3 linked regions of the Arabidopsis thaliana genome follow. The protein of the gene in region 3 purifies or fractionates together with the protein of the main gene of each other region. This does not show direct contact. Each region holds a gene or a part of one and is shown on either strand. Other genes may lie near its edges.

Region 1 (3,753 bases), on a different chromosome or scaffold from region 3:
TTTCATTCCCTAAATTCCTATCCCGATTTACGTCCACCTTACACCGTAAGTTGTGTTGTCGAACATTATCTTCCACACATATTTTATGTAAATTATTGACTCTCTCGATCCCATTACATGTGATGTGGGCTCTACCTACGGTTCCACCAACCTCATATTCTAATCTAATATTTTTCTCATATGCTAATTTTAAATACTAAACGAATCTTAACGGCTGATATATTCGTATATGAATTCATCTACACAACATTTATGTTAATGATATATCTCTAGTCTAGACATTATTTGTCTACAAACGTTTTGTATTGACTTGGCCATCTCATTCCAACAAGATACAACTCATCACTCCAAACATTCAACTTCCATATAAACCATTCCCTTCCGATCTCACTTTCCAAATCACTCTTCACACTTTAACTAAGCAAACCAATAATGGCTACCACTCGTCTAACTCTAGCTCCTCTCCTCCTCATCGCAGCCGTACTACTCGCAACCAAGGCAACGGCTCAGCCGGCAGCCCCCGCTCCAGAGCCTGCTGGTCCCATCAACCTCACTGCGATCCTCGAAAAAGGTGGTCAATTCACTACTTTCATCCATCTTCTAAACATCACTCAAGTCGGTAGTCAAGTGAACATTCAAGTCAATAGTTCATCCGAAGGTATGACGGTGTTCGCACCAACAGACAATGCTTTTCAAAACCTTAAACCCGGAACCCTAAACCAGTTAAGCCCTGACGATCAAGTTAAACTCATTCTCTACCACGTTAGCCCCAAATATTACAGTATGGATGATCTCCTCTCCGTGAGTAACCCGGTTAGGACTCAAGCTTCTGGCCGAGACAACGGTGTTTACGGGCTTAACTTCACCGGCCAAACAAACCAAATCAATGTCTCTACTGGTTATGTGGAGACACGTATTAGCAATTCGTTGAGGCAACAACGTCCTCTCGCAGTTTATGTTGTCGACATGGTTTTGTTGCCCGGTGAGATGTTCGGAGAGCACAAGCTTTCGCCGATTGCTCCTGCCCCTAAATCTAAATCCGGTGGGGTTACCGATGACTCCGGCTCCACTAAGAAGGCAGCGTCACCGTCGGATAAGTCAGGCTCCGGTGAGAAGAAAGTCGGACTAGGGTTTGGTCTTGGACTTATTGTCTTATGTTTGAAATTTCTCTTTTGAAAATTTAATAGCAAAGATTTGTTTTGCTTTCTATTGATTTTATCCTGCGATGTGAGGTATAAATATGAAATTTGTTGATTAAGTTCCGTGAAATAAAATGTGAGATTTTTAATAACATACGTCGTCTATAGTTGTCAATTGTGCCTGTCGAAGTGGATAACTCTTTTCTTGGCGAACCCAAAACAACAAATTTGTGATGTGAACAAAATATTTTGTTAACTTAATTACTAAAGTACGTATACAATTGATGAGATGCTTATTTGTTTTCTGTTTTAATTGCAAGTTCCATTCACGACATTTTAACTCTAGCTACGTGAAAAATGGATCGAAGGATCGGTAGCCGATCCGAAAAACTAGCCATCACATGCGATTACTAGACATAGATTAGTAGTATTATTTAATTCTGACCAGCAGTATAGATAGTATTCATAATAATAAAGTGTTCAGATAATCGTTTTACTGTAACACGCTTTAAAATAAACATGATAATAACTACCCAGTTGCCATTAAATTATAATTCATCGTCCTTAGCCCATGTGATAATGGGCTTAGTGAAACATATTTTAAAATAATGGGCCTGAGCAATGTCTTTAAAATTTGTCAAACACTTGAGGACGGAAAACAAAAACATAACTAAATGCCTAAAATGGGCCTCTCGAAAAAGATAATGTGTTTAATGAACCATATTTGAAAGTAATGGGCCTAAGCAAATAGGCACGAACATACTAGAAGGTAGTTTGCCAATGCATATCTGACCGATTTCTCATTTCTAAAACCCTAAGCTTCGCCGGCAGCTCCGATCGTGATCTTTCATAAATCCTACCATCGCCGTCGATTAAGAGCTGAGCTCAGGTTTATCTATCTGCTTTTTCCTCCCAGTTTTCACTGTGTTTCGTTGTATGCTCTGTTTGGTTGTCGATAGTCACACAGTGCCTGATCGTCGGTCAATTTGCTAATCCTTGTGTGATTTAGAGTTGGAATGATCATTTGGTGAAATCTCGTGGATCTTTTCTTGTTGAAAGCTTGTTGACTTGCTCGTCATATATATTCGACGATCTATGGGTACTGTATCTAGTTGATAATGTTCAAAGGCTTGATCGATTTTAGCCTTGGGATCTGCTACCGATGCTTTCAATTTCTGACGCTTTTCTATGCGATCTTTTCGAATTCGTTTTTCTCTCCAGTTTTTGCCATGTCAATTGATTCTCTTAGTAACACTACTTCTTTGTTTGCTCTCTTGGATTTTTTGTTTCTTCTGAAATGGAGGCTTGTGCATTGATTGTTCTATGTGTGTGATTTCTTATGCGGTGTTAAGTCCTTTGGATCTTCGTATAATGATGTTTTTAATCTGCTGACAAACGAATTTATCCCTGCGGCGTTTTAGTTTGCTACATATAAAGTTCTTAGCTGTGAACTGTTTCTCCTGGGTATCTCATTGCGGTTTGAATTCTGTTTTGCTATCAGGAAATGAGTTTCAACAAAGTTCCCAACATTCCTGGAGCTCCTGCTCTCTCTGCCCTTCTTAAGGTCAGCGTTATTGGTGGGCTCGGTGTCTATGCCCTTACTAATAGTCTCTACAATGTCGATGGAGGACACCGTGCTGTCATGTTCAACCGATTAACTGGTATCAAGGAAAAGGTTTGTATTTCTCAAACTAACAAGATGTACTTTTATATCTGAGGCTTTGAATTCTAAGAAAGCGTTACTTTTACTTGGATTTGTGTTTTCAGGTGTACCCAGAAGGCACACATTTTATGGTGCCATGGTTTGAAAGGCCAATCATCTATGACGTTCGTGCACGACCTTACCTTGTAGAGAGCACCACTGGTAGTCATGATCTTCAGATGGTGCGTTTTGGTTTCTTCTTCTTTTGGCTTCTTTTCTGTGTGTGTTTGTACAATATTTAGCCCAGGGATTTAATTTTAAATGATGTTACTGAATGTGGTGCTATATAGATCATACTAGATATTCCTTCTTTTGACGTTATGTTAAGACCCTTCAATGCAGCATTAAGAGCATGTTTTAGAAAATTTTGGGTGTGGTTTGAGGTTATGGAGCTGTAGATTAAATATCACTTACTCTTTTAGGATATTACACGATCAATGTTGATCCTTATATGAACTGTGTGAGTGTATGGATAAGTGGAAAAACAAGAGACAAGTTACACTTGCTTTCAGTAGACTTAGGTAGAGCAAGAAAGAACTTAGTCTCCATTTTCTTTCTTAAAGGAGTTGCTGTGTTTCTGATATTTTTCTTGGGTGTTGCACAGGTGAAAATTGGATTAAGGGTTCTCACACGTCCCATGGGTGACCGTTTGCCTCAGATTTACCGAACCCTTGGCGAGAACTACAGCGAAAGGGTTCTTCCTTCCATCATCCATGAAACCCTAAAAGCAGTGGTAGCTCAGTACAATGCAAGCCAGCTCATTACCCAGAGAGAAGTACGTATCTCAACATTCTTTTTCTACAACTTTTCTGCTCTTTTGTTTCTAATGGTGGACTCTGTTTACTCTCTCCTCTAGGCTGTGAGCAGAGAGATACGCAAGATTCTGACAGAGCGGGCTTCTAACTTTGACAT
Region 2 (3,753 bases), on a different chromosome or scaffold from region 3:
TTAAACATCTCACTTACCAAAGATGGATCAAACTCTGAAGGTGCTAATGAAATCACTCCAGCAAGCGTTTCATAGGCTAAGCCTGAGAAAAAAAATCGCATGTTGAGAAGAATGAGTGAAATAACAAAGAGCAAAAGAAGTGAACAAGCTGAAGCAAGAAAGGAAGGGATACATAATCTAAAAGGCTCATCATTAACGTTAGGTAAGGGTTAATCCAATATGTACTACTAACCAGCAGCAAAAGTGCTTGATTCGGGATTGTTGGAGCTGTAGCGCCATCTTCCATCACTCTGGCTAAGAGACTGATACAAATGCACTATATCAGCCAAATAATACCCGGAAAACAATCTAAGTAGTATTAATATAGTAACTGAGTTTTGGTAACATATCGAAAATATATATATACTTCTACCAGAGTCTATAATTGATAGTCCAAAAAGACAGTGTATGAATGTCACATCTGATAGTTCAACAACAACAAAATTGAAGGTCAGCTAAACAAGTTCAAACCTTGATGGAACGGAAAATGGCTTCGGCATCTCCAAGACTTATATGAGTTCCAGGAAATTGCTCCTGCATTCATGGAACAGTGAGGTCAAACTTGAAGCCAGGAAAAAGAAAAGTCAGGAAGCCAAAGCTATGGAGTTGAATAAAATAAAATAATCACGATCACAGGTACCTTCTGCCAAAACATTTTCATACTTCAACATAATGCACGAAAAACTAAGAAAACTCTCCTAGAAATACTCTATGGAAAAAGGGTGTAGTCAATCTCACTCAAGATGTCCACCAAAAGTTTTAACTCGTATTTACCTTAGCCAGCACCAAGCCTCTGACAGAATAATAGAAATCAAGCAATAGCTTCGCATCTTTAACACCAGCTTGAAGTTGAGAAACAATGTCCTTCAAAAGAGGAAAAGATAAGGTTATTTTAGCCGCTTAATAGTTAAAATTATGATACTGAGAGGAGACAATTGTTTACCTTAGGACCAGCTTCACCAATTTTACATTTTAGAATCCCATTAACGTTTAACGCATAAAATGCATCCTTAAGAGTAGAAGAAGACGACTGAAGAACTTTAACCACATTCTCACAAGTCTTTGAGCTAAGATCAGACTTTTTATCAATTCCAAGAATCTCCAAAGTCTTTAATGCTTCATATGCCTCCTCCAAGCTGATAGTAATAAAAATCAGATTAGTCCGTACAAAAACCATTCATGAACATTAACGAGCAACCAATATGTAATCGGTGAAATGTGGTTAAAACCCCTACATCAAAGCAATGCCGACTTAAGATAGAGAAACCAACCTTTTGTATGATCCATCGACTGGTACGAAGACATCCAGAGCCGCAGATCGGTGAGAGTCTGAGATCGGCTGGAAAACAGAAGCAGCACCGCAAATTGCTACGGCGAGTATCAAAACCAGAAACCGTACGTTACCTCCGGCCATCATCACTGCATAAGAAAACTCAAAAAAACAGATAAACTCATCCAAATCAATACAATTACACATCTACGACGGATGGATTCCAAAATCAACCGAAGATTTAAGCTTCTTACAGATCGGAAGTAGATCCGTATAGTCGAAGAAGCGGATCAGAGGTCGACGAGTCTCAGTAGTCAACGGAGACTGAGGTTTGAGGTAAGCCTAGGATCGATCTATAGCTTTTGAACCAGACGACGAACCAGAGAGAAGGCTAAAAAATGAGTGTGAGTTTGATGACACTACCTGATATTACCGATTTACCCTCGATTTGAACTTAAATTACACTTCATGAAACGACGGCGTACCTTGAAACCCTAAACCTTGCAGATCAACTTCAATCACCATTTTCATTTCAAACAGAGAGAGCTCTGAGGAAATCAGAATCTGAAAATGATCAGATTCGCGAGACCAAAACCTATAATTGACTCAGTGAGTTACAATCTTCTCCAGAAATGTTACGCTAGTGGAACCCCCAAAGGAAAATCGAAGCTGAAGACAGGCCAATCATTGAAACGCAACAAACTCACAATCAAAAAAGGCGGTGGAAACGGCGGTGGCAGAGGTGGTGATGAGGTGGATAAGGGAAAAGGAAGAATCTCAGATCAATGCATAAACGCTCCTTGTCCTGTTCGTTACCTGAGACCTAAGGAAAGAGAGCGAGAAGCGAGACGAGAGAAGCTAGGGCTAATCAGTAAAGCGAGGCAAAAAGAGATTGATTTTCAGAAGAAAGGTGGATCCTTTACGATGGGAGTTACTACTGCGCCGATGAGGATTGGGACTCCAGGATTGGATTACATTTCGTTAGGGATTTTTACGGAAGATGAGTTACCAAAGTATAAGGTTACAGTGGAGGATGGGATTAGACTTGCGAAAGAGTATAGTAGAGTGCTTATGAGAGAGCATAGAGCGAGACGTGTAGCGGAGATTAGTTTGATGAAGATGAGGAACGCTGCGGTTGAGGCATTGCCGGAGAATTTGAAGAAGGCGGCTTTAGTGCGTGATTTGACTCCGTTTCCGGTGAGTCGAGGTACGGCTACGCTTACTCCACCTATTGAAGGGTATTTGGAGAGGATTATGAATGCTGCGGCTAGGAAGAGCTCTGGTAAAGAGAAGTTGAGATGATCTTGTTAAGGTTAGAGGAATTTGTCTTTGCGTCATTGGTTTTCTCTTGTTTTATTAGTTGTGTTGATTGGATTTCGATCAATGGATATAACTTTGAGACATTTGTCTTTATTTTTGTGATCTACTTGAAATAAAATGGTCACTGGCAGTTGCTACTATATGATAGAATATTAGTTGAAGCTTGAAAGTTTAATCTTTTTCTACTTTATATTGTTTCATATCGGCCTTCTGAGAGGTGAAGTTGTCTAGGATGTAAATGGAATCTTGTTAAACCTCTTTTGTATCTCTTTCCTTGATCGTGTTTGCCTGTTTGCATACTTCTTTCAAATCTTCATTTTTCAGTATTATGTGTATGAACACTGTACACTCATACATTTAGGATTTGTCTCTTCATATATTCTAACCTTTAGGAAGGCCACTGGGTCATGATCAGCTCAAACTTGGTATAACTTTTTATCCTTACCAAAACCATATTCCTAGATAAGAACTGCAGACTATCTTGGAATCTACAGTTCTGCACCAAGATTACAACTGTTTAATCAATATGGGAGTTGAGGTTTGTCCTCTGTGAGCTTTGTGTTGGAAGTTCAGCAGAATGTTATGTAGGAAAGGATGTCCTGCATCTGCTTGTGCTTCTTCATTCAAATGCATAGTTTCTGGGTATTTTCTTCAAGCTCTCCATATCATTTTCTGCATCTTGTTACCCGGTCCAGTAGAGTGCAATGGCAAGAGTCCTAAAGCTACAAAGACCACGATTCTCCAAGGATCATCATAGTTTGAAAGCTGAGGTAGCTAGTCTAGAGAGAATCGTAGTCATTAGACTTCATCTAGGGACCTCTTGGCTTCTATGTTTCCTTAGTTCACTAGCTATTTTTGTAGACCTATTGAGTCCAAATCTCTGGTAAAATAATCAAGTTTGTGTATCTGAGTTCTTAAACCACAAATTTTTATCAATTCTAGTATTCTTTAGGATCTTTTGAATACCACTAAAACAAAGTTCCTCTATGCGTAAAGATCAGATTGTATATGTTGTTTGATCAATAAAACAAGACTTTTAAGCATAAAGCAGGAATGGGACTTTCCGATTTTGTTTAATTAGAGCCTCTATATGTTCTCTTTCTTCCCTTCCATGTCAAAAATAT
Region 3 (3,753 bases):
TTTTTACACACTTATCATGGAAATTGCAAGTTATTTTTCGATTACAACTTCCAAGCAATAGCAAATGTTGCAACTGTGAGAATCTGAAATGCACACATTTTAGAAAATTTAAACAGGATTATCATTTTCCTACATTATTCTTAGCTTGGTAAGATGCAATCAGTAGAACCAAACTCTTAAAGAACAAAAGTTTATGAAAAGAAGAACAACACTCGAGTCATTTACAATCTGAAGATGGTACTTGTGCAGAAGTGAAACAAGCAGATCCTTTTTAGTGGAAACATGTCTGGTCACCAATAGAGAGTGCTAACAAGTAATATCTTCAAAGTGGCCACACACGATAACAACCATAAAGTTAAATTTACTTTACATCCCCTCAGTTTCTCCTTTTCTTCTTCTTCTCTTCTTTATCTGCTGAGTTCTTCAACTGCATAACAAAAGAGTCCGTCAATGACGGTTTACTAACAAATAAAGTGTACCATTTTCTTATACCAGCGACAAATGAACTTACCATTATGATGAGAATCCGAACAAACACAGCTACAAAGTCAGTGAAAAGGGTCAACGAATGTTTTACATAGTCCATGTCACCGAGGTGTGCCTTTTCTATAATCTCTTGTGTGTCCACCACCATGTATCCCACAAAGATCAAAAGTCCAAAGTACAACTGCAACCAGAGACGTATTCATAACAATGGTGAGATGTCTGAGAAAGTAAGACAAAGAACAGATCATTCTAAAACAGAGGCATTCGGTTTACCTCAAACTTAAAGATAGATGCAGAGCCACCAAAGATTGAAGAGGCAAACTGGAGCCACATTAGCATAGACAAGCCAGATGAAAGCAGTCCTCCAAGGTAGAGATACTCCCTGCGTCTTGCTAACATTGCTGCTGCTGAGAAACAGACAAACGCTATCGCAGTTCCAACAAATGCAGTGATAAGGATGCTGGAGAACCAAAAGAAAGATATAAAGGTCAGCTCCTAGAATAGTCTAACAGAAAATTAACATTGAACAACAAGAATCAAATTGCATAACCATAACACACCTTGGGTCAACATCAATTGCCACTTTGATCAAGGGGCCAACAGAAGCACCTTCAAGAACAGCAGACACAAACAGAAGAGAAAGCCTTTTTTGCTGCATCAAAACAAACAACAATGTCAGGAAAACGAAACTTTAGTACAATAAGAAAGCAGCCAATTCACTATTGGGTTGGGTAAATCGAGCCCACGTACGTGTTCATAAGGAGGACATGAAAGGAGCCAAATCATAGTTCCAATACATCCAATCGTTGTAAGAATACCGCCGATATTCCAGAGCACATGGAGGTAAGCTCCAAAGGCAGACGCCACAAGAGCACAACATAAGGTCAAATAAACCTACAAAGATTCCACCACAAATAATAAGAACCAATGAGCATTTGTAACATGAGTGAGTATACAAATCACATTCCCTTCTGCAAATGGAACATGACAAATGAACAAGAGGATCTTAACAATAATAAGCAGAGTAAAGTATAACGAAAGATCTCCACAGAATCATAATCAAGTAAGTATCAACAAACTAAATCATGGAAAGACCCAATTAGAAACCCTAGATAAAGTACGATCGCAACGATTCGTTCAACGGAAACCAAATCATAGAAATTAGATGAAATATAGAAACATAGAGCGATCAATAGCACGAAAACGAAACGAATCTCAATCTATCGACTCTAATCTAGACATCGCGGTTTGGTGTGTGATATGAATAGACATCGGCGGCGAAGAAACTTACCCGTTTAAGATGATTCTGAACGGCTGGAGAAATCTGACGGAAGTTTTTAAGAGAATCATAGCTCCAGCTTCTGCTACCAGGTTGAGAATCGAAGAAGGAAGAGAACGCATCCATTGTTTCGTTTTTTTTGCTTGACTTTGAGAATCGATTAATGAAAATATTAGTTAGAAAATAAAGACTTTCGTTATTTATAATGGGCCTTATGATTGGGGACTAAATTGACAATAATACCCTTACTGCTTATGTGTAGTTATTACGCATTCGCTACACGTGTAGGGGCATTAAACACGGAGAAGGGTAGTTCTGGAAACTTCTTGAACGTTGAGATCGTCGTCGTCGTAATGAGTTGAAACTTTGCCGCGAAGCAAATGAAATATCTAAATCGTCATCTAACCAATAAGAATCATCCACGTGGATTTTTCACTTAGTTTACATATTATTGTTTAAGCTTAGGAATAAATTTGTTTTAGTTTTGTGATAAAGTATTTTGGATAACAGTATTTATTAATTTACAAAGACTTTTCTATAATCTTTCTCTATTATTTTCAGTTGCATCAAAAGTTTAACAAACTAATAAAGAAAAGACCAAGGACATTTTCATATCGTCTAGTCAATTCGTAAATCATGGGTCGAGAGTATGGTTAAATGTCAGGTTTTGAATTCTAGTTCTATATGGGCTGATCGCAAAGCCCATTAACAGTCTCGTTTATCTTTCTATTTTTGCTTACAGAAAACATCACGTAGTTTCTTCCTTAAACTGAATTAAAAAAGGAAAACGACATACAATCCAAGTTTCTAACGATAACAACATCTCTTTCACTTCCTTCATAGCTCATTTCAAACCACACATTCAAACTAACTCTGCAAAAAAAAAAAAAACTCAGAGCAGAGGAGATCGAGAGAGACAAAGAGAGAGAGAGAGAGAGAGAGAGATCTTAACAAAAAAATGTCTATATCCATGGCGTTATTCTCTCCGCCGATCTCTTCCTCACTTCAGAACCCTAATCTCATCCCCAAGATCTCAACCTCTCTTCTCTCCACCAAGCGTTTCTCTCTAATCTCCGTCCCTAGAGCTTCCTCCGACAATGGTACGACTTCCCCCGTCGTGGAGATTCCGAAGCCTGCTTCTGTGGCTGTAGAGGAAGTTCCAGTTAAATCTCCAGCCGAAAGCTCCTCCGCTTCTGAAAACGGCGCCGTTGGAGGTGAAGCGACTGATTCGAGTACTGAGACGGTAATCAAATATCAGAATGCGAAGTGGGTTAATGGAACTTGGGATCTGAAACAGTTCGAGAAAGATGGCAAAACTGATTGGGATTCTGTTATCGTTTCTGGTTAGATCCTTTTAAAACTTCAGTTCAGTACAGATTCTTTGAATACTTGATATATGTCTATGCTTTGTTATTAGGAAGATTCTGCTTTGGTTTCTTATAGTGGTGTGTAAGAAGAGGAGTGTTTGTTGTGTAAATGTGTTGATTATGTATTTTTATAGAGGCAAAGAGGAGAAAATGGCTTGAAGATAACCCGGAAACAACGAGTAACGACGAGCTTGTTGTCTTCGATACTTCGATTATTCCATGGTGGGCATGGATGAAGAGATACCATCTACCTGAAGCTGAACTTCTCAATGGTGATTTTCAAAACACTTATGATCTAACACTTAGATATAGTACACTTAACATTTTGTGCATCTAAGTTGTTGTCTTGGTGGTGTAGGTCGTGCTGCGATGATAGGGTTCTTCATGGCTTACTTTGTTGATAGTCTTACCGGAGTAGGACTTGTTGATCAAATGGGAAATTTCTTCTGCAAAACACTCTTGTTTGTGGCTGTAGCTGGAGTTCTCTTCATCCGTAAGAATGAAGATTTAGACAAACTTAAGGATCTGTTCGATGAGACTACGTTATATGACAAACAATGGCAAGCTGCATGGAAAGAGCCAGATTCATCAACAGTTTCTTCAAAGAAGTGAACAAGTTCT

The links.
Region 1: the proteins of BI1 (region 3) and PHB2 purify together in Arabidopsis thaliana (affinity purification with western blotting, with the first as the bait; one study listed by BioGRID). This does not show direct contact.
Region 2: the proteins of BI1 (region 3) and HAP6 purify together in Arabidopsis thaliana (affinity purification with western blotting, with the first as the bait; one study listed by BioGRID). This does not show direct contact.

Annotation. Positions count from the first base shown.
Region 1 is NC_003070.9:980,048-983,800, reverse strand, and holds the start of PHB2 (prohibitin 2), read left to right. Parts: upstream 1-1,798; 5' UTR 1,799-2,028; exon of another isoform or gene 2,029-2,238; intron 2,239-2,640; 5' UTR 2,641-2,643; coding exon 2,644-2,814; exon of another isoform or gene 2,815-2,906; coding exon 2,907-3,023; intron 3,024-3,445; coding exon 3,446-3,616; intron 3,617-3,697; coding exon 3,698-3,753. Other genes in the region: FLA9 (FASCICLIN-like arabinoogalactan 9), read left to right, coding at 433-1,176. UniProt on the Arabidopsis thaliana protein: Prohibitin probably acts as a holdase/unfoldase for the stabilization of newly synthesized mitochondrial proteins.
Region 2 is NC_003075.7:11,276,349-11,280,101, reverse strand, and holds the start of HAP6 (ribophorin II (RPN2) family protein), read right to left. Parts: upstream 1,674-3,753; 5' UTR 1,564-1,673; intron 1,472-1,563; exon of another isoform or gene 1,459-1,471; 5' UTR 1,457-1,458; coding exon 1,311-1,456; intron 1,176-1,310; coding exon 983-1,175; intron 904-982; coding exon 814-903; intron 574-813; coding exon 511-573; intron 303-510; coding exon 233-302; intron 83-232; coding exon 18-82; intron 1-17. Other genes in the region: AT4G21140 (copper ion-binding protein), read left to right, coding at 1,880-2,611.
Region 3 is NC_003076.8:19,134,209-19,137,961, reverse strand, and holds the start of BI1 (BAX inhibitor 1), read right to left. Parts: upstream 2,011-3,753; 5' UTR 1,892-2,010; coding exon 1,778-1,891; intron 1,381-1,777; coding exon 1,237-1,380; intron 1,139-1,236; coding exon 1,047-1,138; intron 947-1,046; coding exon 760-946; intron 668-759; coding exon 512-667; intron 428-511; coding exon 377-427; 3' UTR 1-376. Other genes in the region: LIL3:2 (Chlorophyll A-B binding family protein), read left to right, coding at 2,724-3,108, 3,267-3,404, 3,491-3,744. UniProt on the Arabidopsis thaliana protein: Suppressor of apoptosis. Modulator of endoplasmic reticulum stress-mediated programmed cell death. Involved in methyl jasmonate-induced leaf senescence through regulating cytoplasmic calcium level.